6 linked regions of the Canis lupus familiaris genome follow. The protein of the gene in region 3 interacts with the protein of the main gene of each other region in a pairwise test. Links are inferred from orthologs where the notes say so. Each region holds a gene or a part of one and is shown on either strand. Other genes may lie near its edges.

The links.
Region 1: the proteins of TRIP6 (region 3) and LPAR2 interact in a two-hybrid assay, tested with the Homo sapiens proteins (2 studies listed by BioGRID). The link is inferred for Canis lupus familiaris from reciprocal best matches to the Homo sapiens genes TRIP6 and LPAR2.
Region 2: the proteins of TRIP6 (region 3) and RHOQ interact in a two-hybrid assay, tested with the Homo sapiens proteins (2 studies listed by BioGRID and IntAct). The two-hybrid records come from large-scale screens. The link is inferred for Canis lupus familiaris from reciprocal best matches to the Homo sapiens genes TRIP6 and RHOQ.
Region 4: the proteins of TRIP6 (region 3) and OIP5 interact in binary tests that used the Homo sapiens proteins (3 or more experiments, as listed by UniProt). The two-hybrid records come from large-scale screens. The link is inferred for Canis lupus familiaris from reciprocal best matches to the Homo sapiens genes TRIP6 and OIP5.
Region 5: the proteins of TRIP6 (region 3) and PRKAA2 interact in binary tests that used the Homo sapiens proteins (3 or more experiments, as listed by UniProt). The link is inferred for Canis lupus familiaris from reciprocal best matches to the Homo sapiens genes TRIP6 and PRKAA2.
Region 6: the proteins of TRIP6 (region 3) and HOXA9 interact in binary tests that used the Homo sapiens proteins (3 or more experiments, as listed by UniProt). The two-hybrid records come from large-scale screens. The link is inferred for Canis lupus familiaris from reciprocal best matches to the Homo sapiens genes TRIP6 and HOXA9.

The regions. Positions count from the first base shown.
Region 1 is NC_049241.1:44,053,460-44,058,136, reverse strand, and holds the start of LPAR2 (lysophosphatidic acid receptor 2), read right to left. Parts: upstream 2,916-4,677; 5' UTR 2,842-2,915; intron 2,592-2,841; exon of another isoform or gene 2,435-2,591; intron 1,628-2,434; coding exon 886-1,627; intron 740-885; coding exon 638-739; coding exon of another isoform or gene 613-637; intron 163-612; coding exon 1-162. Other genes in the region: GMIP (GEM-interacting protein), read right to left, coding at 3,894-4,267, 4,398-4,461. UniProt on the Homo sapiens protein: Receptor for lysophosphatidic acid (LPA), a mediator of diverse cellular activities. Seems to be coupled to the G(i)/G(o), G(12)/G(13), and G(q) families of heteromeric G proteins. Plays a key role in phospholipase C-beta (PLC-beta) signaling pathway.
Region 2 is NC_049231.1:49,818,036-49,822,789, reverse strand, and holds the start of RHOQ (rho-related GTP-binding protein RhoQ), read right to left. Parts: upstream 2,923-4,754; 5' UTR 2,853-2,922; coding exon 2,711-2,852; intron 2,232-2,710; coding exon 2,173-2,231; intron 1-2,172. UniProt on the Homo sapiens protein: Plasma membrane-associated small GTPase which cycles between an active GTP-bound and an inactive GDP-bound state. In active state binds to a variety of effector proteins to regulate cellular responses. Involved in epithelial cell polarization processes.
Region 3 is NC_049227.1:8,843,428-8,848,095, forward strand, and holds the start of TRIP6 (thyroid receptor-interacting protein 6), read right to left. Parts: upstream 3,174-4,668; 5' UTR 2,870-3,173; coding exon 2,761-2,869; intron 2,503-2,760; coding exon 2,375-2,502; intron 2,289-2,374; coding exon 2,163-2,288; intron 1,876-2,162; coding exon 1,498-1,875; intron 1,206-1,497; coding exon 1,112-1,205; intron 1,003-1,111; coding exon 833-1,002; intron 107-832; coding exon 1-106. Other genes in the region: SLC12A9 (solute carrier family 12 member 9), read right to left, coding at 3,717-4,609. UniProt on the Homo sapiens protein: Relays signals from the cell surface to the nucleus to weaken adherens junction and promote actin cytoskeleton reorganization and cell invasiveness. Involved in lysophosphatidic acid-induced cell adhesion and migration.
Region 4 is NC_049251.1:8,673,847-8,677,943, forward strand, and holds part of OIP5 (protein Mis18-beta), read right to left. Parts: intron 1,641-4,097; coding exon of another isoform or gene 1,545-1,640; exon of another isoform or gene 1,257-1,544; intron 1,251-1,256; coding exon 1,149-1,250; 3' UTR 1-1,148. UniProt on the Homo sapiens protein: Required for recruitment of CENPA to centromeres and normal chromosome segregation during mitosis.
Region 5 is NC_049226.1:53,180,207-53,184,303, forward strand, and holds part of PRKAA2 (5'-AMP-activated protein kinase catalytic subunit alpha-2), read right to left. Parts: intron 3,238-4,097; coding exon 2,733-3,237; intron 1,322-2,732; coding exon 1,195-1,321; exon of another isoform or gene 1,107-1,194; intron 1-1,106. UniProt on the Homo sapiens protein: Catalytic subunit of AMP-activated protein kinase (AMPK), an energy sensor protein kinase that plays a key role in regulating cellular energy metabolism.
Region 6 is NC_049235.1:40,434,851-40,439,520, reverse strand, and holds the start of HOXA9 (homeobox protein Hox-A9), read left to right. Parts: upstream 1-1,490; 5' UTR 1,491-3,266; coding exon 3,267-3,846; intron 3,847-4,670. UniProt on the Homo sapiens protein: Sequence-specific transcription factor which is part of a developmental regulatory system that provides cells with specific positional identities on the anterior-posterior axis.

The sequences.
Region 1 (4,677 bases), on a different chromosome or scaffold from region 3:
TCTCAGCATCTCGGCACGAGTACACCACGGCGTTGACCAGTGAGTTGGCCTCGGCCAGGAGTAGGAAATACTTCTCCACCGCCAGGACGTTGCAGGACTTGCAGCCCAGACCATCCAGGAGCAGCACCACCTGGCCTGGAGTCCAGCAGACCACGAACGCCCCTATAGGATGGAGCCTGAGGTGAGCAGGGCTAGCTATTGGGGCCCAAAACCCACAGGTCAGAGCTCAGGCCTGGAAGGAGCTCCAGAGCTCAGACAACAGCCGTGTAGTTTGCAGGGCAAGAGCCGCCTGACACCTTTCTCTGATTTATCTGCCAGAAGGGATGCCTTTCCTAACCTGGTACACGGTAGACAGGGTGCTGGACATTTCTACATGAAAATTTGTTCTATGAGGGGAAGGAGGTCATGTGGGAGAGGTGTTACTTGGTGGGGGGAAAGGGGGTCATAGGGAAGAGTCACTCCTTGTTCTTAGGGGTAGGGGAGTGTATCCTTGCAGGATAACCTGGCTACCTCCCCCACTCAGACCACTCTACAGCCAGACTGACCTCATTACTCCCTACTAAGAACTCTTGAGGGCTTCCCACAGAACTCAGAACAAAATCTGACTCTTGCCTGTGCCCTTCGAGGCGGTGCTGACCTTTTCTCCTGCTTCTCTCCAGCCACACGGGCCTCCTCTCCTCTTTGGAGGCACAGCCCAGTCCTGCGGGACTCTCACCTTCTGTTCCCTCTGCCTGGAAGTCTTCCCTTCCCAGCATTCAGGTCTCTGCTCAGATGTCACCTCCTTGGAGAACATTCCCCACCCAAATCATGCCCTCCCATGCCTTGTGGGAGTTGGGGGGAAGCAGGGTTCCCGCAACCCTGGGCCAGCTGAGGACACTCACTCACCCAGGATAATGACAACGGTCTTGACCAGGCTGAGTGTGGTCTCTCGGTATCGCGGGTGGCAGCTGACGTGCTCTGCCATGCGCTGCACCCTCCGCCTCACATAGAAGAAAATGCGGGTGTAGACAGCCACCATGAGCAGGAAGACAAGCAGGCTGGACAGGGCCCAGACAGCCAGATAGGAGCGGCTGAGCAGGGGGGCCATGCGTGAGCAGCGGTCCAGGGCACAGAGGCAGTGCCAGGAGTGGGCCGGCAGCAGCCCCAGGCCCAGTGCAGCCACCCACACCCCCACGATGAGCATGACGACTCGGCCTCTGGGCAGGCGGCTGTGCAGCTGCACAGCCATCACGCTGCGGTGCCGCTCCACGGCGATGGCTAGCAGTGTGGCCACTGATGCCGTCAGGCTGGTGTCCAGCAGGCCCTGCCGCACGAACCAGCCCTCCAGCGAGAGCCGGGCCGTGCGAGGGCCAGTGTGGAACATAAGGAAGAGGTAGGCCACACCAGCAAAGAGGTCAGCCGCGGCCAGGTTGCCAAGCAGGTAGTAAATGGGCTGGTGGAAGCGTCGGTTGGAAGCAATGGCTGCGATGACCAGCAAGTTGGTCAGCAGCACCAGCACGCTGACTGTCAGCCCCAGGGCCACCACAACCACATCTTTGGGCCGCCAGTGGGAGCTGAGTTCCTTGCCACTGTTGTTGTAGAAGAAGCCGATGGTCTCGTTGTAGTAGCACTGGCCCATGGTGACCATCTGGGGGCACAGAGGGAGAGGTCAGTATAGGTGGCATTTGTTCGAAGGACACAAGAATGAGCAGCAGCCAGTGAGGGCGGGGGTCAGGACAGGAAGGGCAAGGGTCTCAGACTCGGTAAAGTGGCAGTGGTGGAGCCCAGGGTAACCGGGAAAGCAAGCTCCCTGGTGGGAGTGTGGGGGATGGGCAGCTGTTGCTCATTTACTAATAAGACCCTTACAAAGATTATCCCCCCAAATCAAATGACTGGCTGTTTGTTTTAACTTAAGCAAAATCAAACAAACGAAAACAACAAAAAAATCATCTACTACCCAAGCGCGCCCAATCTGTACTGGGGGGGTGAGTGGCGGGGAAGGAGGGACAAAGCGCCAGGAGCTGTGCAAGTGGGTGAGGGACGGTACGCTCGCTGCTGGGATCAGTGCACAAAGTAGAGCCCAAGGGGCGTGTGTGAGCAGGGTGGAGTCGCTGCTGGGACCCTGCAGGGCAGTCCGTGCTTGAGCGTGGAAGTGACCGGGTCCACCAGAGCCGGCAGCGACGCGGCCCCAGAAGTTGGGCGGCGGGTGCTGGGCGCGAGCGTTCCCGAGGCGGGCGGGGTATCGGGCAGTGACGGGTGGGACGGAGGACCCCGGCGGTCTCCCAGACAAAGGGGGCGGCCAGGGAGGCGGCGGCCGCGGGGCCTCCAGGCGCCCCCAGGCGCCCCCAGGCTGGAGGAGGAGCCGGGGCTAAGGGGAGGAGGGGGCGGTGCCCGGGCCCCGCAGGCACGTGCCGCGCCCTCCCGGGGACCCGCGCCCGCCCGCCACCGTCAGTACCGGCCTCGTCTGGGCGGCCCGTCACGTCGCAGACGGGCGGCCTCCCGGGGGGACGGGGTAGGCCCCAGACCCATAGCCTGGGGGCCACCGCGGGAGCCGACGAGCGTCCGGGTGCGCTGGGCGCGGGCGCCGAGAGCCGAGAGCCGGAGGGCGGGGTCCCGCCCCTGCCTGGGCGCGGCGCCCCGCCCCCGCCACCTGGGAGCCCCGCCCCGCCCCCGCCACCTGGGGGATCCCGCCTCCGCCGGCGCGGTCGGGACGGGGTCTCCCGGAACCGCAGCCCCCCACCGTTTCCTCCCGGCCTCGCGGTCGCCCCTGCACTTCCGGCGCGGGACCCCCGCCCCCGCCCCCGCCCCCGCCCTCGCCCGCCCCACGCGCAGTTTCGAGCCCCCGGGGGCCGAGCCACTCACCGCGCCAAGTCCCCGCCGTGACCTCGCGCCGCCTGGGCGCAGCTCCGGGTGGTCTCAGGGTCCGCGCCCCCGCCCGGCCCCACCCCACCCGCTCCCCGCCGTCCAATCCGTCGCCGAGCTCCAAGCCACGCCCTGATCCGACCGGGCTCCCACCGCCGGGACCCCCGCCCCGCCTCCGCTTCCCCGGCCCCGAGATACCGCGCGCGCGGCCCCCGGGGCCCCACGGACCTCTCCGGCCCCAGCTGACCCTCGGGCCGCGCTCAAGTTTCTGGAAATCCCACCCCCACGCCCTGCGCCCGCGGCCGCGCTGCCCCCTGCCCGGCCCGGCTGATGGCGGCCCTAGGCTCCCACGGCCCAGAGCACACAGCCCCATTGTCCCGGTTATCTGCACTTTGTTATATTTGTTTGATTATGCAGGACCGGATCGGGGACGTGGAGCTCCGGGAGGGACGGGCCGTTGTGACTCAGCCGGGTGCCCGGGCCCAGCCCGTACTTCTTGTAGGTGCTCAAGGATGTTTGGGGATGAAAGGGGGCCTTAGTTCCTCCAGTGGGTAAAGTGGGGCCAAAGGATGCTGCCCTCCCCTCTCTCTCTCCCATCACCCTTGCCTGGCAAAAAAAAAAAAAAAGACACTCAAGGGTATAAAGGACACAGTTTATTCCCAGGCGTCAGGCCCCAGGTGCCACAGAGTCTGGGCTGCCCACTCCCTCCAAGAGCTGCTCACCTGAGGCAGCTAAGGAGGCAGGCAGAGGTGGGGGAGTGGCTACAACCAAAGTAGCAAAAGGTACCCCTGTCCCAGGGGTTAGAGACTAGAGTGGATGCCAAGGATCCCATGACTTGTAATGACCCTGAGTGTTGACCCTGACTAACCTCTGAACCTGAGTGGCCCTGATGCTTGGCAGTGACCTATGTCTAGTGGGGGAATACTGGTATATTGCTTCAAAAGGGGTTTTAGTCTCCAAGGCCATGTAGTCTTTCCTTGCAGGAACTCTCCAGTTCCCCCAACACTGAACACCTCTCAGTCCTTTCCCCCTTGGTCAGAAGGCTGGGATGGTCAAAGATGGTCCTCAGCTTCCTCAGGTTGGGGATCTGGGCAGCAGGTGGCCTTGGGCATAGCTTCGCTGGGTAGCTTGGAGAGAAGCCGGGCTGTCTCCTGGGTGATCTCAAAATGCTTGGGCAGCGGGGTGCGGCGCAGAGGGCTGCCCTCAGGCGAGGAGGTGACAGGGCCAGGTCCTCGCCTCCGCAAACTCCCTCGCGTCACTGATGTGATAGGGGTCTCCTCACACAATTTGGAAGCTACCAAGGCAAAGCTGGACAGCTGGTGGGTGATAGGCCGTGCTCCACCCCGGGGATATTTCACTGGCTGGCGGCTGAAGTGGCCACGGGATTGAGTCCCCAGGAGTGAGTCCTCTGGACCTTGGCTGGACACTGTGGGTTGGGATGGTCAATGATGAGCATCCCTGAGTCCTCTGGATATAACCTGGGGGTCAAACCTCAGCCAAGCTATCCCAGGCAAGGACACCCCTCTGATTCCTGGGCTACCCCCCAACATACTCACCTTCCTCTTCTTCCTTTTTGGTGTCCTCAGCCACTTCTCTGTGGTCACTCTGTGGAGTTGGAATCTGTAGGAACAAACCCAAGACCAAAACCCCAATAATAAAATCCCAGTTCTTTGAGGTTCTTTGAGAGCTGAGGGTTTTTTTCTGGACATGTAAAAGGTCTTTTGCAGTTTTGGTATCTGGGGAGGCGATGCCCTTAACAGTGTACAGCTTGTCTCCTTGTGCAGAACAATATTATTCATCTCAACTGTGGACTCCATGAGGGCAGGAACGCCCTTG
Region 2 (4,754 bases), on a different chromosome or scaffold from region 3:
ACCTTACTAATAGTTTGATACCGTTTGGTATGTGTCTTCCCATCTCCACTGGACACAGCAATCACAATAACTTATGGGAAGCCCTGGTTTTGTGCGTGGGTCCAGCTTCGGGTGATGATTTGGATCTGGGTTCTTTCCACTGTAGTGGTAGTGCATGACTGTCACTCAGAGAATGGCTGTCCAGATTCCAGGTACCCAGGTCTACAGACCCACAGGGTTCTGGATTAATCAACCCAAGTGGCATCTCAGCCTTTCCAGTGGCTTCCTGTGTGTATAATCACCTCAAACCAGAGCAAATTCAGACCCATGTCCATGTCCCAGCAACACCTGTCCTTGGCTATGTGACCTGAGGTCAGCTACCTAGCCTCTCTGAGCCCCAGTTTCCCCATCTGCAAAGACAGTATCACTTTGCTCATGGGGTTGCTTCTTGGAGAAAATAGTATTTGCATGTGGCTGCCCCATGCCTGACATGCAGAAGGAACTTGGTAAGTATTAGTTGGATTTGAATGCGCACAGAATAGGTCTGACATATACACATCCTGTTGAATAGGCTCGTGGTCAAATGAATGGTCATGGTAACAAGTTAAAGGAGAAAGGGGAAGAGGCGGTAGTGAGAGACGTTAAAATTAGAGGCGGTGTTTAAAAACTTCTCTCCTTTTCAATCCCAAACTTCAACCTGTCATTTATCAAGTGTACTGTTCAAAAGTCGGGTCTTATTTAATTGACTGGGTTCTGCCTTTTGCCCTCCACACGTTCTGATAGAATAAAGTAACAGCTACAGGGCAGGCACCCAAAAGGGGCCCTGGCAAGCTAAGAACTTGTACTGACTTGGGTTGGTTTGGAGAAAGGGGACAGCCCCTGCCACCTGGCCCTGCCAACAGTTTCTCTATCCTCAGATGCTCCTCTAACTTAACAGTTTAGAAGCCAGAAGCCACATCCAGACACCGTCTGTAAGACATTCTTCAATTCAACCTGGTACCACAACTCTGAACTCCAAATCTAGAAAAGCTGCAAAGAATAGTTCCCTTCTATTGAGCATCTCCCTGGGTGCGCCAGATTCAGTGCTAAGCGTCTGGCATATAATATGTGAACAGAGAACTTTCTGAAGCCCATTTTATAGATAAGGAAACTGTACTCCTGGAGATCCCCCAAGGCACTCTCTAAAGCCCTCAGCTGTTCACACGTCCTCAAGGACTCAAGTCTGCATGACACGTGAAAAACTTCTGCCCAAGGTTTCACGTCTAATCACAGGGCTGGATTCTGCAAAACTTCATTATACGTAATCATCCCAGCCCCACAGCAAAAGTGAGCCTGGGAAGAGAGACAGAGAGGAAGGAGACTTTAATCCTTTAGAACCAACCTCCGATTTGCTAATGGTCAGAGGCTGCCAGGAGGACTGTGCCGTTTTCTTTCTGCACAATAATCTCTCTCAAAGAAAACCCAGACAAAGTCACCTGGCCTTCCCAGAGAAGGGTGGGGGCGGGGGGGGGGGGGAGGGGGCTCTTCCTCCAAGATTCATACTCCTAACCCTTCCTCCTCCTCCCTACCCCAGGGAGTGGCTGGATGGTTGTTGTTTCTTTTCTTTTCTTTTCTTTTTTTTTTTTTTTTCCCCTGTGGTCCTCTGGTAACACCACAAATTACGTTTGCAGGGACTCGAGTCCCAGAGTGCAATGATGTTGTAATAAACATAACCAGGACCAAATGCCTTCCCATCATATTAGATGATGCCATTTTGCACCAATCAGGCTCCTCAGGCAGGCAGACCACTCACCAATGAGGGACCAGACAGAGGCTGTGAGGGGGAGACCTGGTCATCTGCAACTAAAAATAAGGGCGCTTCATGATTGGCCGCTGCCACTTTGCAACAGGAGTTGGGACCCACACACCAGGCACCACACAGAAAGCACACACAGGCAAAAACTTTCACAGCCCAGGGGTTCACATGGGGTGGGCTGGGCTGGGTTTGTTGTCGGCTTGTGTGTGTGTGTGTGTGTGTGTGTGTGTGTGTGTTTTCCTTTTCCTAATTTGCTGACTTGAGAAAAGAAATAAAGACTTGATCCAGAGGGGCCCCTCGAAGACACACCCTCCCTCCGAGACACCTCAGGGTGCATTTGCCGCCAGCCTGAATTGAGGAGAGGCAAGGGGGTGTGGGCCAGGGGCCAAGACACTCACCTGTCCGGCCGTGTCATAGAGTCCCAGGAGGTACTGCTTGCCCCCTACGGTGACGCTGACTGCAAGGACAGAAGCGGGGGCGGGGAGAGAAGCTCGGATTATCTAGGGTCTGGGGCCCTCCGGCTCCCCATCAGGACGGCTCTGTCGGTCCTTCCGGAGGCGTGCGGCGCTCCCGGGAGGTGTCACCCCTCCTCCCCAGCGTCGGGCTCCCTGCCGAGTGGCGGGGGGCCGGGCTGTGCTGTGGCCCCAGCTGCCCACCCGTGGCCACGGCTCGCCGGTGCCCCGAGCGTCCCCCCAGGGGGCGTGGGCCGTCGGGAGGAGGCCGTGGGAAGGTCAAGGAGGTCGTCCCAGGGCGCCCGGCGCTCGGGAGGCGCGGGGGGCCGGGAGCGGGCGCCCCGAGGCCCGGGGGTGGGGCCGGGAGGCGGCGCGGGGCCGGGCGGGGGGAGCGCGCCCGGGGGAGGCGGCGAGGGGGCTCCGCCAAAGTTGCTCCAAAGTTCCCGGCCGGGGAGCGGCCCCTTAGTCAGCAGTTCAGCCTTACCTGCGTAGTGGTCGAAGACGGTGGGCACGTACTCCTCCGGGAAGGCGTCGTTGGCATAGCTCATGAGTAGGCACGTCTTGCCCACCGCCCCGTCGCCGACCACCACGCACTTGAGCATCAGCGCGCCGGGCCCGTGAGCCATGCTGCGGCCGGCCGGCCTCCGGGCATGGTCCCCCCGGAGCCCCCGCCCCGGCCCCGGGCTCAGCCCCAGCCCGCCTGGGGGGTCCGCCGCCGCCGCCGCCGCCGCTCCGCGCAGCACGGCCGCCCCCCCGGCCCCATGCAGCGGCGGCCCCCGCCGAGCGGAGGGGGCGGCGGGCCCGGGGCGCTGCCGCCGCCTCGGCCGCTGCCCGGATCCCCGCCCGGGCCCCGCTCGCCGCGCCCGCCCGCTGCCCCCGCCGCCCCCGCCGCCCCCGCCGCCCGCCGCCCGCCGCCCGCGCGCTCCCCGGCCCGGCCTCCCCCGGAGGATCCGCTGGATCATAAGACCGGCCGGCCCCGGGGGAGACGGCAACTTTGGGGAGGGCGGCGGAGGGGAGGGGCCAGGCGGCTCTCCCCGCCCCGCGCGCGCCCGGGCCCCTCCCGGCTGCGCCCCGGAGGAGGGCGGGCCCCGGCGCCTCCCCGAGCGCCTCCCCGAGCGCCTCCCCGAGCGCCGCCCGCCCGGCCCCCGCGCCCCGCCCGGCCCCCGCGCCCCGCGCCCCGCCCGCCGCCGCCGCCGCCGCCGCCGCCGCCGCCGCCCGGCCTGGCCGCTCACCCTAGCTTGACTCCCCGCGCGGGGCGGGGGCGGGGGCGGGGGGCGGAGCCGCGGGCGGGGGAGGGGCGGGGGCGGGGCCCGGAGCCCGGGAGGAGCCCAGGGCTCGTCGCGCAAGTGCCCGCAGCGCCCGGAAGCGTCCAGAGGCCCCGGTGCTTGGAAGAAGCCGAGGAGGCCTCTCGGGGTACCACGACCACTTCGACGATGACGCAATAGTCGTGCAAAATTATGCAAATATATTTAAACTGCACCCGGAAGGCAGGATCCATCCTATCGGGCCCTAAGTGCACAAGGGAACTAGAAATCGGGGTGGGAGAAAGGGTTAAAAAAAAATTTTTTTTTTTTTTAAGGCGCGTGGGGCGGTGGGGGAGGTGGCGGTGGTCCCACAGCTCCTCGCCTGGTTCCCCATCACCGCACGGAGCCTGAATCATCTACTTTGAAACCGGTGACTAAGGGAGTTACGGCGTCTTGAACCTCCGAAGCAACCCCCAGCCAGCCAGCAAAGGGAGACCCCACGGGCTCCGGATGCGGCAAATATCCCGTGCCTCGCACCGTTCTCTGAGGTCCCCTTGCGGCCCAGACTGTCCTTCGAAGGTGTTAGGCTGTGATCTCAGAGGAGTGACACTCTTGCTCTGAGATTCGGCATGTGATGGGTGGGGGGGGGGGCAGCCGCTGCCCCTGCCGCTGCCCCTGCCCCTGCCTGGGCCAAGCTTGGCCAGGTCCCGTTCGCCAGCCTCTAGTGATGCTTTGATCCTTAGGCATGGGTGGGGGAGTGGGTACACACCACAAAGACACCACGCCCCTCCCCCTTCTCCTCCCCACCCCACCCACCCCCACATGTGAGAAATGGCTTGTTTTCATTGATTCACAAAATTGGAAAATGCTGTGTTGAGAGGCTTTGCGGAGATCAACTGGACCATCTCCCTTAGCTCTCCCTGAGGTTGTAGGTAAGTAAACAGACCTAGAGAGGCAACGTGGTTATCCCAAAGGCTTCCAGCTAATTCTGGCAAAGACGCAGAACACACTTTGGGGACTGCCTCCATGCCTCACTTCCCAGGCCTCAACTCTCAAACCTCAAATCTGATTTCCTCTGTCCCAGAAAGATTTCCTAGATTATTGGAAGGTCTCCGTGGAATCACACTGAACATCTCACGGGACCTCTGCATCTGGATCTAAGTGTGGGTATTGGCGTTGCCCCACTGTTCTGGTTATGTGGTGAATCTGGAAGATATTTTGTGTGCACTGAATGACAGGTTAAGGAAGGCAGTACAGTGCCTTGAAGTCAGATACTGGTTCAAG
Region 3 (4,668 bases):
GGCACACCACACAGGTAAAGCAGCTAGGGTGGTAGGCTTTCCCCATGGCCCGCAGGATCCGGTCCAGGATGGGTTGGGAGCATGTGGAGCACTTCTCCAGGGTGGCCTAGCGAATTAGAAAGGAAGGGTGGCAAGTTCAGGGCTGAGGAGGTCCGGTGGCTGGCAGGCACCCTGCTGGCCTACCCACCTGTTTTTATAGCCTGCAAGGGATTCAGTGAAAAGTGGCCCTGAACAGATCTAAGTCCCAGCACTGTAGCTTCCTACAGAAGTGATCCAGTCTCAACTTCCGTTTCCTACAGTAGTATCAGCTGCTTCACAGGGGCAGCAGTGTGGAAATTTAACATATTCCCTTAACTCAAGATAAGTCTGGTCTCCTCCTCTTCTTCCTCCTCCTCTCACATTTGTAAGGAACTATTGTCCTTTCCCTCCAGCAGCCAGTAATTTCACTACTTTCCCAATTCCTTCCTTCTTACACATCAGTTTAGTCCCCCAGCTTGGAGTTCTTTTTTCCTTTAAGACTTTATTTATTTATTCATGAGAGACACGGAGAGAGAAGTAGAGACATAGGCAGAGGGAGAAGCAGGCTCCCTGGGGGGAACCCAATACGGGACTCAATCCAGGGCTCCAGGATCACCACCTGAGCCGAAAGCAGATGCTCAACCACTGGGCCACCCAGGCATCCCCCACCTTTGAATTCTGTCCCTCTCATGTGCTTAGACATCTAGTTTCCACCTTAGATGGAAGCCTCCTGCCTCCTGCTACCTTAGATGGAAGCCTCCTGCCTCCTGCTACAGACTCCAGCACCCAGGCCACCCCCAGCACACCCACTCACCACATAGCAGCTCTCACAGTACGCCCTCCTCTCCACAGCATAGAAATGTTGGCCCCGAAGCTGGGCCCGGCATGTAGAGCACACGAAGCAGCCAACGTGAAAGACCCGGTCCAGGGCCACAACGCCAGCCCCATCCCCAACCACATCTTCCCCACAGCCGCCGCACCGCCCTGGGGACAGGGAGGGACAGGGTCAATAAGCATGCAGAATGGAAGGTGGATTCGCTGTCCCCTTGACTCCCCAGTCCCCTGCCCCCCTTCCCACCTCAGGTCAGCTCACCAAAGTACTCCCCGGTGGGAGGATGGTTCATGTCATGCACCAGTTTCTTCGTCAGCCTCTCAAGCTCTTCCTCAGGAGGCTGGTTCAGGGGGACCTGAAAGGGGGGAGTCAGGGGTTCAGCCCTACCTCCAGCTCCCTATGCTGTCAGACTTTCCTGAAGGGGACCAGGCAGTTCCAAGCAGAAAGCTCATCTGACGAGGTCTCAGCCCGGGGCCCAGGGGTGCACCTCCAGGAGCCAGTGTACAGCTCCAGCACCTCCCTCTTCTATTTCCTGACCAGCGCCACATCCCTGGGACCCAGAACTCCAACACCCCAGGACTCCCCACCCCACCCAATCAGTGTCCAGTTGTCCATGAGGACCCCACATCCCAATACTTAGGGCTTACCTGGGGCCCATACGCGCCTCCTCTTCCTCCTCCTGCAGCCTCCTCTTTAACCCCTGGCCCTGGCTCATGGTGGCTCCTATAGCCAGCCCCCCAGACTTCACCTTGGCCTGGGAGAGGAAAGTGAGGGCCCGGGAGGGCCCCGGAGGCCTGAGAGGCCCCCCGCCTGGGAGGGCCACAGCCTCTCACTGGTTGTGCCACCTTCACTTGCACAGGGAAGGCAGGGCCAGCGGGGGTGCTGGCTGTAGCATAGGAGGCTGGAGTGGGGCCCCCATAGGGAGACGCTGAGAGCTGTTGGGGAGGAATAGGAACACCCCCTCCATTCGGCTTCAGGGAGCCTGAGCCTGTGCGGTAGGCATGGGGCTGAGGGGGCTCATAAGCCTGGGGAGAAACAGACCAGGAGTGAGAAGGCCCATTCCAGGACACACACTTGTGGGCCCTCCCACGTGTGTGTGTGTGTGTGTGTGTGTGTGTGTGTCCCCAAGGTAGTGCTGGTCTTTGACAAGCACTCAAGAGGCTGACAATCTAGTAAGATGTGATACTCCTGCATGTATCACACATGGGGGCAAGGGTGAAGGGTACCAGGTTGAGAATCTAGGGAAAGGACCAGGATGGGGAGTGTGGAAGAGGGCAGGAGACAAGGAACAGGGGTGGGACAGGGAAGTCACCTGCCGGTCTGACCGCCGTGGGGCATGACCACGACCTCCATCCAACTCAGCCAGCATGCTGGTCAGCGAATCTATCTCGGCATCCAGACTTCCTGGACGCAAGGCCCCCCTGTCTGGGGGGAGCCCCTGGAGATGAAGAAAAAGCAGGGAGAATTCAAGTCACTTGCCCCGGGTGCCCCCACCTCCCACCCACTCCCAATTCCAATTCTCACCTGTGAGCGCTGGGGTGCTCCATGGCACCCCACCCAGGGGAACCCCCGATCATCTGGTCCCCCGGGGGCCTGGTAACACTGCTCAGATGGGAGGGGGCAAAAATTGACCCTGGGGTGGGGCTGATGTGCTAGGGTGAGGGAAAAGAGAGCCAAGGTGGGGATGGGGAAGGAGGGGAGGGTGACACTTATGGAGGCCGCCCTCATGGGTCACTCTTCTCCCCTCCCCCCCCACACTTGGAGTCCCAGAACAGAGCAGGAGCAGGAAGCCGGAAGGGCTTCAGGGAAGGGGTGGCAGGGACAAGCCAGGGGCAGGAGGCAGGAACCAGAAGGCGAAGGTGAGCTCAGAATGGCCAGTGGCCTCCTTGGCGGCACTGGGGCTGCCTTACCTGCTCCATGGGCTGGCGGCGGCCCCGGGGCACCTCGGGGGAGTGCTCTCCCCTGAGGGGCTCTTGCAGGCTCCAGCTGCCTTGGGGGGAGCCAGGTGGGCCCCGACATGGCCGGGATCAGGAGACTCTAGACAGCGGTCAGGCCCCACGTAGCCCCAAGACTCTGGTCTTGGCCCCTTCTTCTGTCCCACACCTCGTTTGGAACTCCAGGAAAGAAACTTTTTCTGGCCTTTTTTTTCCCCTTCCTCCCCAATTTTGGGGACAGCCACGCCCCCGGTGACGTCACCACATTCCTGGGGGAGGGTCACGTGGCCCCCTAGGCCCTAAACTGCCGTCCCTCCCCCAGTCGGCCCCCTCCCGCCGAGCAGGGAGAGCTTTCCAAGGCTGCCTCCGTTTCACTCGTTCCCCCAGACTGGCGCCCCAAGTCCCGCACGTGGCCACCTCGCCGCTGGGACGCGCTCCAGCGCGGCTCTTTCCCACACTCCCCCAACCAGATCTCTCTCTTCCCGCCCCACCTACCGCCCCTAGCAGTGCTCAGCCAGGCCAGCCCATAGTGTTTTGGTCTTTTATTCACGTTCAGCGGTTAGAAAAATAAAACAGAACAAAAACATCACAACCTCAGGGGTCTGCGAGTCTGTTGGGCAAGGGGAGACTGAGGTAGCCGAGAGTCAAAGCAGAGACCCAGCCTCCATCAAGGCACCAGTGAAGGAAGGGAGGCCAGTGGGGAGGGCTGCTGCCTTTCTCCCCCAGCGTGGTGGGGACACAGCTGCCCTGCATTAGTGCACTAAAGCCCCTCTCACAGGGACAGAGGGGTGCCCCAGCCCAGGATCCCCTAGTACTTCCACAGGGCTCCACACCCCACACGTGGAGCAGGCGGGAGGCTGCCCTTCCCTTCTGCATCCACTGATCAAAGCAGGTCACCGGACCTGGGCACCCTCTGCTCCAGGCCCCGGGCATCAGAGATCAGTGCAAGTGACTGGGGTGACTCCGTGAATGAGTAGCGTGGGGCCCAGATCATGGGTCAGAGTCTCCAGGAGCGCCAGGTAGCGAGTGTAGCAGGCAGGATCGGCGGGCGGCCGAGGCAGGTATAGGAAAGTGAGGGCTGTGGCAGGCCCACCTTCGCCATCCGCACCCTCAGGCCCACCGGGCCCGCCTCCTCTGCCGCGCCCCTGCTGGGCCCGAACCAGGGCGTTAGCACTGCATGCCAGGGCCTCTGCCTCAGCATCTCCCCGCCTGCCATTCACAAAGTCTCCTTCCTCCTCCTCCTCCTCCGGCTCCCCAGCCCCAGCCCCCTCACCCCACACCACCTCCTGTACTTCGGCTCTGATCCTCAGCTGGCTCAGCAGTGCCCGGAGCCGCCCCTCAGCCGCCCCGGGGGCCTCTCGAGGCCCCAGGCACAAGAAGATCCGGAGCCGGGCGCTATGCCAAGCAGGCACCATGCCCAAGATGGTTGCCATCTGCAGCAGGAAAAGGCCACACACATCCACGTAGCCAGGCCCACCCCGGGGCCGCAGCAGGTTGAGAGGCCACACATCCACGTGATGTGGCTGAGAGGTACCCCCTGAACCCCGGCTCAGCCGCTCCGGGGGCAGGGCCCCACAGGCCCGGGCCAGAACCACATTCTTGTTCATCTTGAGGGCGTCTGCCACTGTGGCCACATAGTCCTGGGGGCTGAGAGCCCGGGGGCTCCCAGGAGCCCGGGGTGGAGGAAACAGAGTGCTCAGGGCTGGGGACCCACCCTCCTGGGTGCCATCAGTAGCCTCGGAGAAAGCCGGGTCTGTCAGGAAGTGGTCCTGGGGTGCAGCATCATCATAGAAACCTAGGACCAAAGTGTTGGGCTTCATGCCACCTGGGAGCAGAGAGGGGGAGGTGGGAAGAGACAGGAATCAGACTCACAGGCTGAGTTTA
Region 4 (4,097 bases), on a different chromosome or scaffold from region 3:
GCATCTGAATGGCTCAGCAGAGGAGCATCTGCCTTCAGCTCAGGGTGTGATCTGGGGGGTCCCAGATGGAGTCCTGCATCCAGCTCCACATAGGGAGCCTGCTTCTCCCTCTGCCTGTCTCTGTGTCTCTCATGAATAAATCAATAAAATCTTAAACAACAACATCATCCAATAAGTCCTTGTACCCTCTGGTTTCTGGCCACTAGTTCACCTCCTGCAGGCCTTCTTTTAAGGGCCTCTCCACAGGTCCCCCTCCATTCCCTAATTAACTCCTAGTCTTTCAGACCACTGCTGAAATCCCACTTCCTCAGAGCAGCCTTTCCAACCCCAGGGGTCCGGTAGCTGCTTCATGTGCTGGTAGCTCTAGGTCTCTTTTCTTCAAAACCTTTACTATAGTAATAATTTCACATGTATTCATGTGGTTGTTTGAACGTCCACCTCTAATGAGATTAAAAGCTCTGTGCAGGTAGAGAGTGGCTCTTTTTGCTTACCTTTTATCCCCAAAGTTAGTAGACTTTTATTAAATGAATAATATGACAAGGTACTGAGTGTAAGTGGTATATAAAGCAAAATATGAAAAACAGCATTTTGGTGAATGTTTTATCATTTCTCTCATTATTACCTGGGTAGGCTCAGTTTAGAAATGAAAAGAGAAAGATAAATTGTATATTTTCCAGTTAACTTACTGAATATTACCTACAGAGTATGTTTGTACGTATATTGCATGTAAGAAAAAAAATGTTTTCTATCTTCATCATCACAACTGCTCCATGTAGGAATAAAGTAGTCAACATGAAATACAACTCTGTTTTCATAACAGCCGTATATCTTTATGTCAGACCATTTGCAGGACACTGCCTCTTAACCTACATTTGCAGTAAAATATGTATTCAGAAACAAACATTTATGAAATTGATAAGCTAAAATAAGTTCTTTTATTTATGATAGTCACACAGAGAGAGAGAGAGGCAGAGACATAGGCAGAGGGAGAAGCAGGCTCCATGCACCGGGAGCCCGACGTGGGATTCGATCCCGGGTCTCCAGGATCGCGCCCAGGGCCAAAGGCAGGCGCTAAACCACTGCGCCACCCTAAAATAAGTTCTTAAGGCAAATAGCTATGAAACCTGGGTAGGGGTTTCCTTTGTTTCTCATTTTCTAGACAAAGCTTCACAAATCATTTGGAAAATCAGCCTCAAGGTGAGAATAGAGTTCACATCTCTTCTTAGCCAATCTTTCTTCCTTGAGAACTCCTGTTGATGAAGACAGCAATAAGACCTGAACCTAGTTAAGCTTTATTTTTTTAAAATTTATTTATTTATGACAGTCACACACACACACACACACATACACAGAGAGAGAGAGAGAGAGAAAGAGAGAGAGAGAGAGAGAGGCAGAGACACAGGCAGAGGGAGAAGCAGGCTCCATGCACTGGGAGCCCGATGTGGGATTCGATCCCGGGTCTCCAGGATCGCGCCCTGGGCCAAAGGCAGGTGCCAAACCACTGCACCAACCAGGGATCCCCCTAGTTAAGCTTTAATCCTGGATCAGTTTTCTGGCTTGGGCTGGTCAGGAGTTCTTTCCTTCAGAATCTTCATCAGTGAATATAAACGAGTATGTGTTAACATTATCTTCTCTTTGAGCTGGGAAGAAAAATAAATCGGTATCAGGGCATCTTGAGCTTAATACTTATTTTGATGATTTTAGAAGCCACTTCAAATTTAAACCAGTGGTTGATAGCTGGTAATGTCTCAACACATTACATAAATATGCTTGTCCTATTTCTTTCTTTCTTTTTTAGATTTTATTTATTTATTAGAGAGAGAGAGAGAGAGGCAGAAACACAGGCAGAGGGAGAAGCAGGCTCCATGCAGGGAGCCCGACCTGGGACTCAATCCCTGGTCTCCAGGATCACGCCTGGGCTGAAGGGGGCACTAAACCGCTAAGCCACCAGGACTGCCCTATTTCTGAAAGAACTTTATGCAACAAACCTCAAGTGCCCAGTAAGATCCTCAGATACAAAGTTTCATGTGAAAAAAGACCAGCCACTGCTGAGCATCACTGCTTCTCCTCCTCCCTCCTTCCTACCCCTTATCGCCAGGTTTAAGTGCCAAATATTGGGAAGGAAGGAAGACAAGAAGAAGGTGGGGTAAGAAAGCTTGTGGAGAAGAACCTCAACTACTCTTCCTCTCCTTTTCTAGGGGCAAGAATCTAACTTTTTTTTTTCTTTGTTCACAGTAACAAATGCCTGTCTTCAAAAGTAGCCCTGGTTGTTGGGTTAGGAACTTGTGTTTGTGGTAATTAGGTTATTTTTGACAAGTTCTTTCACCTAAGAATAGCTATATCAGGAACCAAACTTAATGGTATTATTCAGCTTAGTAAATAAAGTTATCATGGAATACAGAATTATGGATAACAACCTTCTGTTGGGGATCCCTGGGTGGAGCAGCGGTTTGGCGCCTGCCTTTGGCCCAGGGCGCGATCCTGGAGACCCGGGATCGAATCCCACATCAGGCTCCCGGTGCATGAAGCCTGCTTCTCCCTCTGCCTGTGTCTCTGCCTCTCTCTTTCTCTCTCTGTGACTATCATAAATAAATAAATAAATAAATAAATAAATAAATAAATAAATAAATAAATAAAAACAACCTTCTGTTGAAGACAGGTTAACAACACCATCAACAATAAACCATAATTTGAACATAATTTGCACCATTCATAAAATCTGCTTTATATTATCATTTAAGACACAAGAATAATCCATATTCATTAGGAAATGCTGCTTAGGGACGCCTGAGTGGCTCAGCAGTTGAGCTTCTGCCTTTGGTTCAGGGCATGATCCTCGAGTTCTGGGATTGAGTCCCACACCAGGCTCCCAGCATTGAGCCTGCATCTCTCTCTGCCTAAGTCTCTGCCTCTCTGTCTCTCATGAATAAATAAATAAAATCTTAAAAAAAAAAATGCTGCTTAAATTAAAAAAGTAACTCTAGAGCCTCCCCTCCCCCCCCTTTTTAAGATTTTATTTATTTATTCATCAGAGACACAGACAGAGAGAGAGAGGCAGAGACAGTCAGAGGGAGAAGCCAGCTCCAAGCAGGGAGCCCAATGTGGAACTCGATACTGGGACCCCGGGACCACACCCTGAACCAAAGGCAGACGCTCAACTGCTGAGCCACCCTGGCATCCCTAGAGCCTCCCAGTCTAATTGCAGTACCATTGGATGTGGTGAATCATTTCTCTGTTGCCTTCAAGATTGTTTACTCTCCTCATTTTTACTATGATGTATTGGGGTATTATCTCTTCTGTGTTTATCCTATAAGTCCTTTGTGGACTTATTGAGGTTTTGGATATGTAAATTCAGGTTTTTCATCAAATTTGGGGTTTTTTCTACTATTATTTCTTTGAATATCTTTTCTACTTCTCTGTACTCCTTTTGGTATTTATTCTCTTTACCAAAAAATGTTTAGGTATGCCTGATGGTGTCCAAGAGGTCTCTTCAATTCACTTTCCTGCATTTTTTTTTCCCTTCAGTCTCATCAATTTGTCTTCAATTTGCTGATTCTTTCTTTGGGCAGCTCAAATCTGTTCTTGGGCCCCTCTAGTGAGTTTGTAATTTTAGTTATTGTACCTTTTTTTGTTGTTGTTATTGTGCTTTTCAACTCCAGGATTTCCAACCTTTTTCTTTTTTCTTTTTTTTTTTTTTTATAATTTCTAACTCTTTGTGGATATCCTGTATTTGATGAGATATTGTCATCATACCTTCCTTGACTTCTTTAAGCAGTTTCCTTTCGTTTTTTGGACATTTATAGTGGCTGCTTCAAAGGCTTTGTCTGCTAAGTCTAACATCTGGGCCCTTTCCTAGGCAGCTTTAGATGCCTGCTTTTTATCCTATTTATAAGTTATACTTTCTTCTTTGAGTGTTTTCTCGTTTTTTTTTTTGTTGTTGTTGTTGCAAACTGGACATCTTTTTTTTTTTTAGGTTTTTTTTTTTTTTTTTTTAGATTTTTTTCAGTAATCTCCACACCCAACATGGGGCTCGAGCTCACAAGCCAGAGATCAACAGTCACACACTCCACCAACTGAGCCAGCCAAGGTGCCCCACA
Region 5 (4,097 bases), on a different chromosome or scaffold from region 3:
GGATTGAGTCCCACGTTGGGCTCCCTGCATGGAGCCTGATTCTCCCTCTGCCTATGTCTCTGCCTTTTCTCTCTCTCTGTGTCTCTCATGAATAAATAAATTAAAAAAAAAATAAAGATTTCCAGTTTCCCAGAAGTCACCTCAAGAGATTCTGATTTGGGAGATCTGGGGGTAGTTACCAACAATCTGCATTTTAATAAGAACTCTAGGTAATTCTGATGATGGTGGTCAGAGACCATATAAATACTATAAATACTATAGTCAGTGGTAGCTGAGGAATAAAATTTAACTCTTCTGTTGAAAACAACTTCCTTAACTCTGAACTCAGTTCTCCTCTTGTTCTATCTTGCACCTAACCCCTGGTTTACTGTTTGTATCCCACTTGCACCTCTAAACTGAACAAGCAAATAAATAAAATCTTTAAAAAAGGGGGGGGGGGTGGGCAGCCCGGGTGGCTCAGCGGTTTAGCGCTGCCTTCAGCCCAGGGTGTGATCCTGGAGACCTGGGATCGAGTCCCACTTCGGGCTCCCTGCATGGAGCTTGCTTCTCCCTCTGCCTGTGTCTCTGCCTCTCTGTCTCTCTGCCTCTCTCTCTCTCTCTCTCTCTCTCTGTGTGTCTCTCATGAATAAATATAAAATCTTAAAAAAAAAAATAAACTGAATAAGCACATCTGGTTCATGAAGGTTTGACTTCTGGTACCCACTAAGTACTTAAAACACAACCCACAATCACCTCCCTTGACTCCTTCAGTCTCCTGGATGGCTGGAGCATCAAAATTAAACCTGAACCAAAGAGAGTCCCATCTGGCCAACTAGAATGAGGGAAGTTGATGAATGAGGAAGTTTAGATAGTGGAATCCTAATAATAATAAAATATGACTGGAGAAATGTGACAAAGAACCTGACAACATCAGTTAATTTTAGGCAAAAATTGCTTCCCTATTGTTCCTTACTTTTGCTCCACAGCCAACACTTCAAGTGACTTTATGCCAAGGAGGCACATCTTTTGGAGAGGTGCTGGGTTAGATATAGGTCTTCAATCTTTTTCATTTCACTTGCATTTTTAGCTAATTCTAGATTACTTAAAAACCAGTATAGAAGACCTACCCACCATGTCTTTGAGATGATTTTAACATCTTGTCAACTAGTGCCAAGTTTTATCTTCTCAGAGCTCATGTCTGCATAGCTTCCTTACCATCAATGCTTTTAAAGTCCAAAAGATAGCTTCTATTGTCAACCAGGTAAAGTTGTAAACTCATTTTCACATAATTGCCAGTCACTGGATTTTTTCTTCTTACACGAAGATGATATGCATTCACTACCTAAAATGGGAAATTTTTTTTAAGGAAAGTTGTTAAAAATAACGAACTACAAAATATCTCCCTTATTCTTATTGCAAAGAATATCAAAAGAAACAACTGACAGAGGTAGGGTAGAAAAGGAATTCCTGTATGATCTTTTTATATTACATGACAGTTTAGTATTTATATTTAATCTCCACTAATCAGACTGTGCAAAGCAACTGAAATTTAAAGGGCACTCGGAGATTATATGGAGTCTAGGCCTTCATTCTAGATATGCCTCTGTTCTAAAATGTCAACAATTCTGATCATCTTGAATAACTTTACCTATTAATATGGAGTAGAAGGAATAAAAAAGAACACATTAATAGTTTGCATTAGGCAATATAAACAGGTACTGTCACAAAATTTAAGTATTCAAATAATCCTGTGAAGAAGTATTATTTGCCTTTTTTTTTTTTTTTTTTTTTTTTTTTTTTATTATTTGCCTTTTAAAGAGATAAGAACTACAGCTCAGATAAAGATAATTCTGGATTTTTAAAACATCTATTAAATAAGTTCCAAATTTTTTTCAGTATTGGATTTTAATGACATTAATGTCTCTTAACTAAATCACTTAAGAAAAGGGGGATCTGTTTTTTAAGTGATTTTAAGAGACTATTATTTTGCTTATTCATGTACAAATAAAATGAAAATGATGGATTTTTCAAATATGTCAAATGAATATATACATTGTATATGTGAATGTTTTTCTTCCTTTAAAAATACATTTACAGTCCTCAAGAAAGGAACCAGAGTAGAAAGGATATCTGAAATGAAAAAAATGCTTTTCCTCCCACATATACTCAAATAGAATTGCAATGAATTTGAACACTAATTTAAAAAAAAGAAAATTGGATGCTAAGAGTAAGAAAAATATACCACTATTTTGGGACTAGCCAAATAAAAGAGATTTTCTCAACCTAGAGAAAAGTATTTATTGACTGAAAAAATATGTCCTGATGGCATATCATCTGTATTGCTACAGCTAGGGGGGAAAAGGGAGAAAAGTAAAAACATAACATCTTTGAAGACACATGACTTTTTATTGTTATGATGCAGACAGAAATAGGTGGACTATTTTCTCAGGTGATTGATTTCAGGTTATTTTCTGTTTCTTGACTAAGAATGCTAGTCTCCAATTCAAAAATATTGTAGGTCCCCAACATCAACGATTCTTCATGCTTATAGAACTTTGTTTAGTTTTGAATGAACTTGGTATATTAATGGAAAAAATGGGAGTTTTTATCATCTAGAAGCATCAAGACCAATTTATATCTAAATCAAAACAACTTTTTTATTGACATAAGTACTCGACTCGATAGATCAGTGCAGCTTACTATACAAAAAAACAAACCTTTACAAATGATCTTAATATTCTACAATTTCATACCTTCCATTCAAAATCCAGCTGCTTCATAGCTCGGTAGACTTCAGCCATAATGTCATAAGGTTTGCTTTGACTTCTGATTCCAAGATGCCACTTGGCTTTTTTCACAGCTAAAGATTTGGGCTTAGTTGTATTCAGTGCATCCAATGGACATCTCGCTTTAGGGCTGTCTGCTATAAGAGGTGGCATCCTTTCTGGATGAGGTTTCAGGCCTGGGGGAATATGCATGGTACTATCATCCATAAAAGAACCAGTTGGGGGACTAGAGGCGAGGTAGAACTCACTGGCTTGGTTCATTATTCTCCGATTGTCAATGATAAGATGATAAGCCACTGCAAGCTGGTCTTGAGGGTCACCACTATATAAACTGTTCATTACTTCTGATTCTGTACACTCAAATTTTTCACACACTTCTTTCACAGCCTCATCATCAATGACGTTAGCATCATAGGAGGGGTCTTCAGGAAATAAGTAACTGGGCAAATCTTGTTTAAACCATTCATGCTCTCTAGGAAAAATACCACAATACACTATTGTAAGAACATGCTTTGGCAAGTCCCAGATAATTTAGACATGGGGCAATAAAATATAACAGAATCAGAAAAAACTATTCTCTGTGTGACCCTGGGTAAGTTAATTAACCTCCACCCTTGAATAACTATGATTATTCAGACTTGGATATTTGGCTCACATTTTCTCAAAAATAAGTAAAATGAGCCTGTCACTTCAAAGGAAACAACCGACAGTATTTGTTGCCAACAATAAAGTTTAAGCTTTCAAGCAAAATTTAGAATTTTATATAATTTGTATCTGCCTCCATGAGTTTGGCAGCTTCCTACTATGTAAAGACTTTTCTGATAACTTTATAATGATAGCAATGAACAGGATTTCTAATACTGTATAATGAACTTGTCACCATTCGGAAAATCTTTTTTAACTCAATAACCTGGCATCTCAATAACTTCAAATGACCAATGCATGATGTTACAAAATCATACACAGGTAAAATATCCACAAAACATAAAATAGACCAGTGGATTTTAATGCAATAAAGTACAAAAGTATGCCAATATGTTTTCTCATTTGATACTATAACGAGTTAAGCTTTGGCTTAATATCAAAGCAGAATATCCACAATTATCTGAAAGACTATTCAAATGCTTCTCCTTTTTCAACCACTTATTTGAGTGATATCAGATTTTCTTCATAGACTGCAACTAATATAACATATTGCAACAGACTGAATGAAGAAGTAGGCCTAAGAATCTAGCTGAGGTTTATGAGTAAGCCCAACACTTAAGGGAATCTGAAAATGAAAAAACAAAAAACAAAAAACAAAAAAACACCATTCTTGTTATTTTCTTTTTG
Region 6 (4,670 bases), on a different chromosome or scaffold from region 3:
TGCACAGACAAGGCCTCGGTTACGATCACGACCGGATGGCGGCGGCCTTGCGTTCTTACTCGGCAGGTCGGCAACACAGCCTAAGAGATCCGGATGAGGGGGGCATTCGCAGCGTTTTTGTGTGTCCACACGGAGGGCAAGGAGGCCTTCGCCAGCCTCACTGGGCACCTGAGGCTGGGACCTGGGCTGAGGTCATGCCAGGCTCCGTGGAGCCTGACTATGCGGGGAACTCCGCCTGGAAGCTTCCTCCGCTTTCCCAGGCCTGCCTGCGGGTCCCAGCCCTGGCTTTAACCGCGGTAGGGGAGCCCCGCTAGGGCAAAAACTGGTTGCTTGTTTGCCAGTAGCTTCTCCCAGGTTCAGACTCTGTTAGAAATGGCATCCTTGGTGCGGAATGGGTGCTGGAGAAAGGGACCCTTCCAGCTCCAGTCGGCTTCAAATAATAGGGGAAAGGTGTCCTAAATGCTACAACCATTGGATTACAAACTTGAGTCCTTGTTCCAAGTTGTAGTCCACAGTTGGAAGGCAGTCGAACCATTCTTGGTCTGGAACAGAAAATAACTTTCATCCCTGCCTGCTCCCCAAATGCACACTCGTGGGGCCTTGAGACTCATGCCCACTGAGCTGTGTGTGCTTCCCTTCCCAGCTCTGGCTGCCGGCCCTGGAACTGTTTCCATTGCTCTGCCTGCGGTTCTCTTATCTGAAAGGCCAGCACACCGCTTTCCCCTCAACTCCTCTGTGCCATTTTCCGGACCAGAGTATTGGATTTGTTTAGAGGCCAAGGTTTTAGAACTCTCAGGCGAAAAGAGGCGGTTTGTAATTACATCCATTTATTATTTTTTTATATACACACTCAGTCCCTTGCATTTCCAAAATAAAAGCTGACTCCAAAGCCTGAATATTTTCTCCCCAAGTCTCTGGACTGACGAAGAGGTAATATTAGTTTTTGTGTGTGTGTGTGTGTGAGATTTCTTCCCTTTTAGGCACCAGTAAGGACTGCTTAACACTCAGCGCCTGCTAATTACTTGGTAACTGTCCTATTCTGGGGACTAAGGCTCTTTAAATAGCCTTTCTATATATTTAAAAAAAATACTACTAATAATTCGAGTCTTCTCTGGGCACAAAAAGTCAAAAAGCAATGAGGGGAATCCAGCCTGCTTGCAGACAATTGCAATTAGGAGCGAGGTTTCCTCCAGGGTTAATGTTCCTTAATGAAAATCTCAGAGGCACCCGCGAACTGCCCAATATTTGGGATACTCCGGGATGCGGTGGGGGTGGGGATCAGGCGGAGGAATTTACAGGGAAAGGAAAATATTAGGGGGGAGGAGGCTGAGGCGACCAGGACCAGCCACGTCGGAGTTCACTGTGTCGGCCACTTCCCTCTTCCGGCGAGAGCGGATAAAGGGGCACCCGGTTGGTCTCCGCCAGGCTTCGCAGCCTCGGTCTGGGGGAGAGCCTGGCGTTCGAGGGTCCCTGTCCCGGGTAGGGATGTATCAGGCTTTGGGGGAGGATTACTGGAACTGCTGGGGAGCATGAAGGCAGAAAAGGAGATGGAAGCGCCCTCGCCGCCCGCCCTCGCCGCTAGGGAAGTGGGCTAATGAGAAACACACTCTTGCAGGCACAGTGTTCACACGTGAATTTAATTACCCCGTTTTTTGGAGTCGAGGCTTTCCGTTCGGATTTGGGGTGGGTTTTTTTTTCTTCCAACTACCAGAGGCCTTTTAATTTAACCCTGCAAGACTCTGAGGGGTGAGAAATGCCCTCCTCAATGTGGCCAAGCTAAGGAATGGGATTAAAGTCAATGCCCCGTGCCCCTCCCCGCTTTAATATCTAGCCCTGGACTTGAGCTGCGGTCGCCCAGCTTCGGGCTGTCCGGCCTGGTGAAAACCGAGGCGGGGCCCGGGGCAGTGGCCAGAAAGGAAGGAAGGAGGGAGCCCTGAAGAACCCATCCTGGGCGGCGAGGCCGACCGCTCCCGTGCGGGCCTCGCAGTTCCCGGAGCCCCGCGGTCTGTGCGGCGGGGCTGCCTTCTCGCAAGCCGATCTCGCCCTCCACGGAGGCTGCCTCGTGGGTTTTTTTTTTTTCCCTGCAGGCTCGGGTTGGGGGAACGCGACAAACTTGCCGAGCTCAGCGTGAGGGCCTTTGGGGTCGAGGCACAGTTTTGGGTCTCCCGCTGCGTTCGCCTGGGTCTCCTCCTGATTCCCCGCAGAGGACTCGTCGGGCGCGGGGGCGCGCGGGGGCGCGGGGCCGGGACCGAACCCGCGGCACAACCAGGCCCTCCAACCCTTGGCTGCTGGGACGGCTGGCCGCTCCTCGGTGGAGCGCTCGCTGGAGGCGCAGCGGGCGAAGCTAGGAGCTAGCTGCCCGGGTGTCCTGGGATCCCATGGGGGCAGATTTCAGGGCCCCACAATAGGCAGTGCCCTCTCCAGGGCCTGTCGCTGCCCAGCGCACTCGGGCAGGGGCGGTGGTGACTCAGTTTGGGACGGATACTGCGTTGAATTTGACTTTTCGCGGCCCGTCCGGGGTAAACTCGCATCTCCCGGGACTGCAGGGATTATTTACAGGGAGCTCGCCGACCAAACACAACACTCTAATTTAACCTTTCCAAGTCCTCGTAAATTTTTACAGCTGGGAGCCACGGCGAAGCAAACGAATCTGTGGGTCGTTCCCAACTTTTCCACCGGCCTGTGTGGCTTCTGAAACAATAACTCCTTATGAAATATCATAAATATAGATTTAAATACAGTAGAGCGAGAATGCGATTTGGCTGCTTTTTTATGGCTTCAATTATTGTCTAATTTTATGTGAGGGGCTCCACTGGCCGCACTCGCACGCGGGACCCGCGCCTTGCTGATGGCGTGATTAATTGTGATATAAAATAGTCCGCTTAAGAAGTGTGTGTCTGGTGGTGGCGGTGGGAGGGGAGGGAGTACAGAGGCAAGGCCAGATTTGATCTTTTAATCTTCGTTGGCCACAATTAAAACAAACCCGATCGTGGAGCGCCGCGATCCCTTTGCATAAAAACATATGGCTTTTGCTATAAAAATTATGACTGCAAAACACCAGGCCATTAATAGCGTGCGGAGTGATTTACGCGTTATTGTTCTGCCGGGCGGGCACGTGACGCGCGCGGCCAATGGGGGCGCGGGCGCCGGCAACTTATTAGGTGACTGTACTTCCCCCCCCCCTGGTGCCACCAAGTTGTTACATGAAATCTGCAGTTTCATAATTTCCGCGGGTCGGGCCGACCGGCCAGGCGCGGGGCACAGCGATGGCCACCACCGGGGCCCTGGGCAACTACTACGTGGACTCGTTCCTGCTGGGCGCCGACGCTGCGGACGAGCTGGGCGCGGGCCGCTACGCGCCGGGGGCCCTGGGTCAGCCTCCCCGGCAGGCCACCGCGCTGGCGGAACACCCCGACTTCAGCCCGTGCAGCTTCCAGTCCAAGGCGGCGGTGTTCGGCGCCTCGTGGAACCCGGTGCACGCGGCGGGCGCCAACGCGGTGCCCGCTGCCGTGTACCACCACCATCACCACCACCCCTACGTGCACCCCCAGGCGCCCGTGGCGGCGGCGGCGCCGGACGGCAGGTACATGCGCTCCTGGCTGGAGCCCACGCCCGGCGCGCTCTCCTTCGCGGGCTTGCCCTCCAGCCGGCCTTACGGCATTAAACCTGAACCACTGTCCGCCAGAAGGGGTGACTGTCCCACGCTTGACACTCACACTTTGTCCCTGACTGACTATGCTTGTGGTTCTCCTCCAGTTGATAGAGAAAAACAGCCCAGCGAAGGCGCCTTCTCCGAAAACAATGCTGAGAATGAGAGCGGCGGAGACAAGCCCCCCATCGATCCCAGTAAGTGTCTCCTCCCTTCAGACCGGCCGCCGCCTCCACGCCGGCCACCAGGATCTGCCAGCCCTTCGGCTTTCTCTTGAGCCTGCCTTCGCCTGCGCCGCCGGGAGCCTCTTGAGCAGGGGCCGGGAACCAGAAGTTGCTGTTTAGGATGCCTCGGATGGGGCCCCAATTCCAGAGAGCAGTGACAAGCCGGCTACCGGGTTGAGGGGGGAGGGGAGGCGGCTGCTGCGGGATGAGAGAGAGAGAGAGAGAGAGAGAGAGAGAGAGGGCGGGGCGGGCGCTGCCGGCCAAGCCAAGACCAGCCGCCCCTCTCCCTGGCTGCCCGGTACCGAGACAGCAATACTTTGGGCCGTTCTTCGAAAGCAGCTCGGCAGAGAATCTTTTGTGCGGCTAGATTGTCCTGGAGCGGCGGCAGCAACTGCAGCCTAGACCCTGGAGAAGACGGCCGATTCCCTCCACTTCTTGCCTTCAGCCAGTGGCGGCGTAAATCCTGCCCAGGATGAGGCTGTAGGCGACCGGGCCACGGTGGTCCCCTTGCCAGATTATTCAAATACACTGGAGAAGTGATCCGCGCCCTTGGGGCGCGCGGTGAGGGCTGCCGGAGGCTCCCACAGCCTTTCGGGGAGGTCAAAGAAGGATTGGGGAGAGAAGGAAAGGAGGGGAAGGGAGGCTACACACAGAGACAGTGTGTATGCGTGTGTGTGAGATAGTGAGAGGGAGAAGAGAATATGAGTGTTACAGGAACACAGGGCAGCGTGCTGTCCCTGTGCCTGGCCAGAAGAGGATCTATTTCCAAATTTCACTCCTTGCACAGTGTGCAGAGG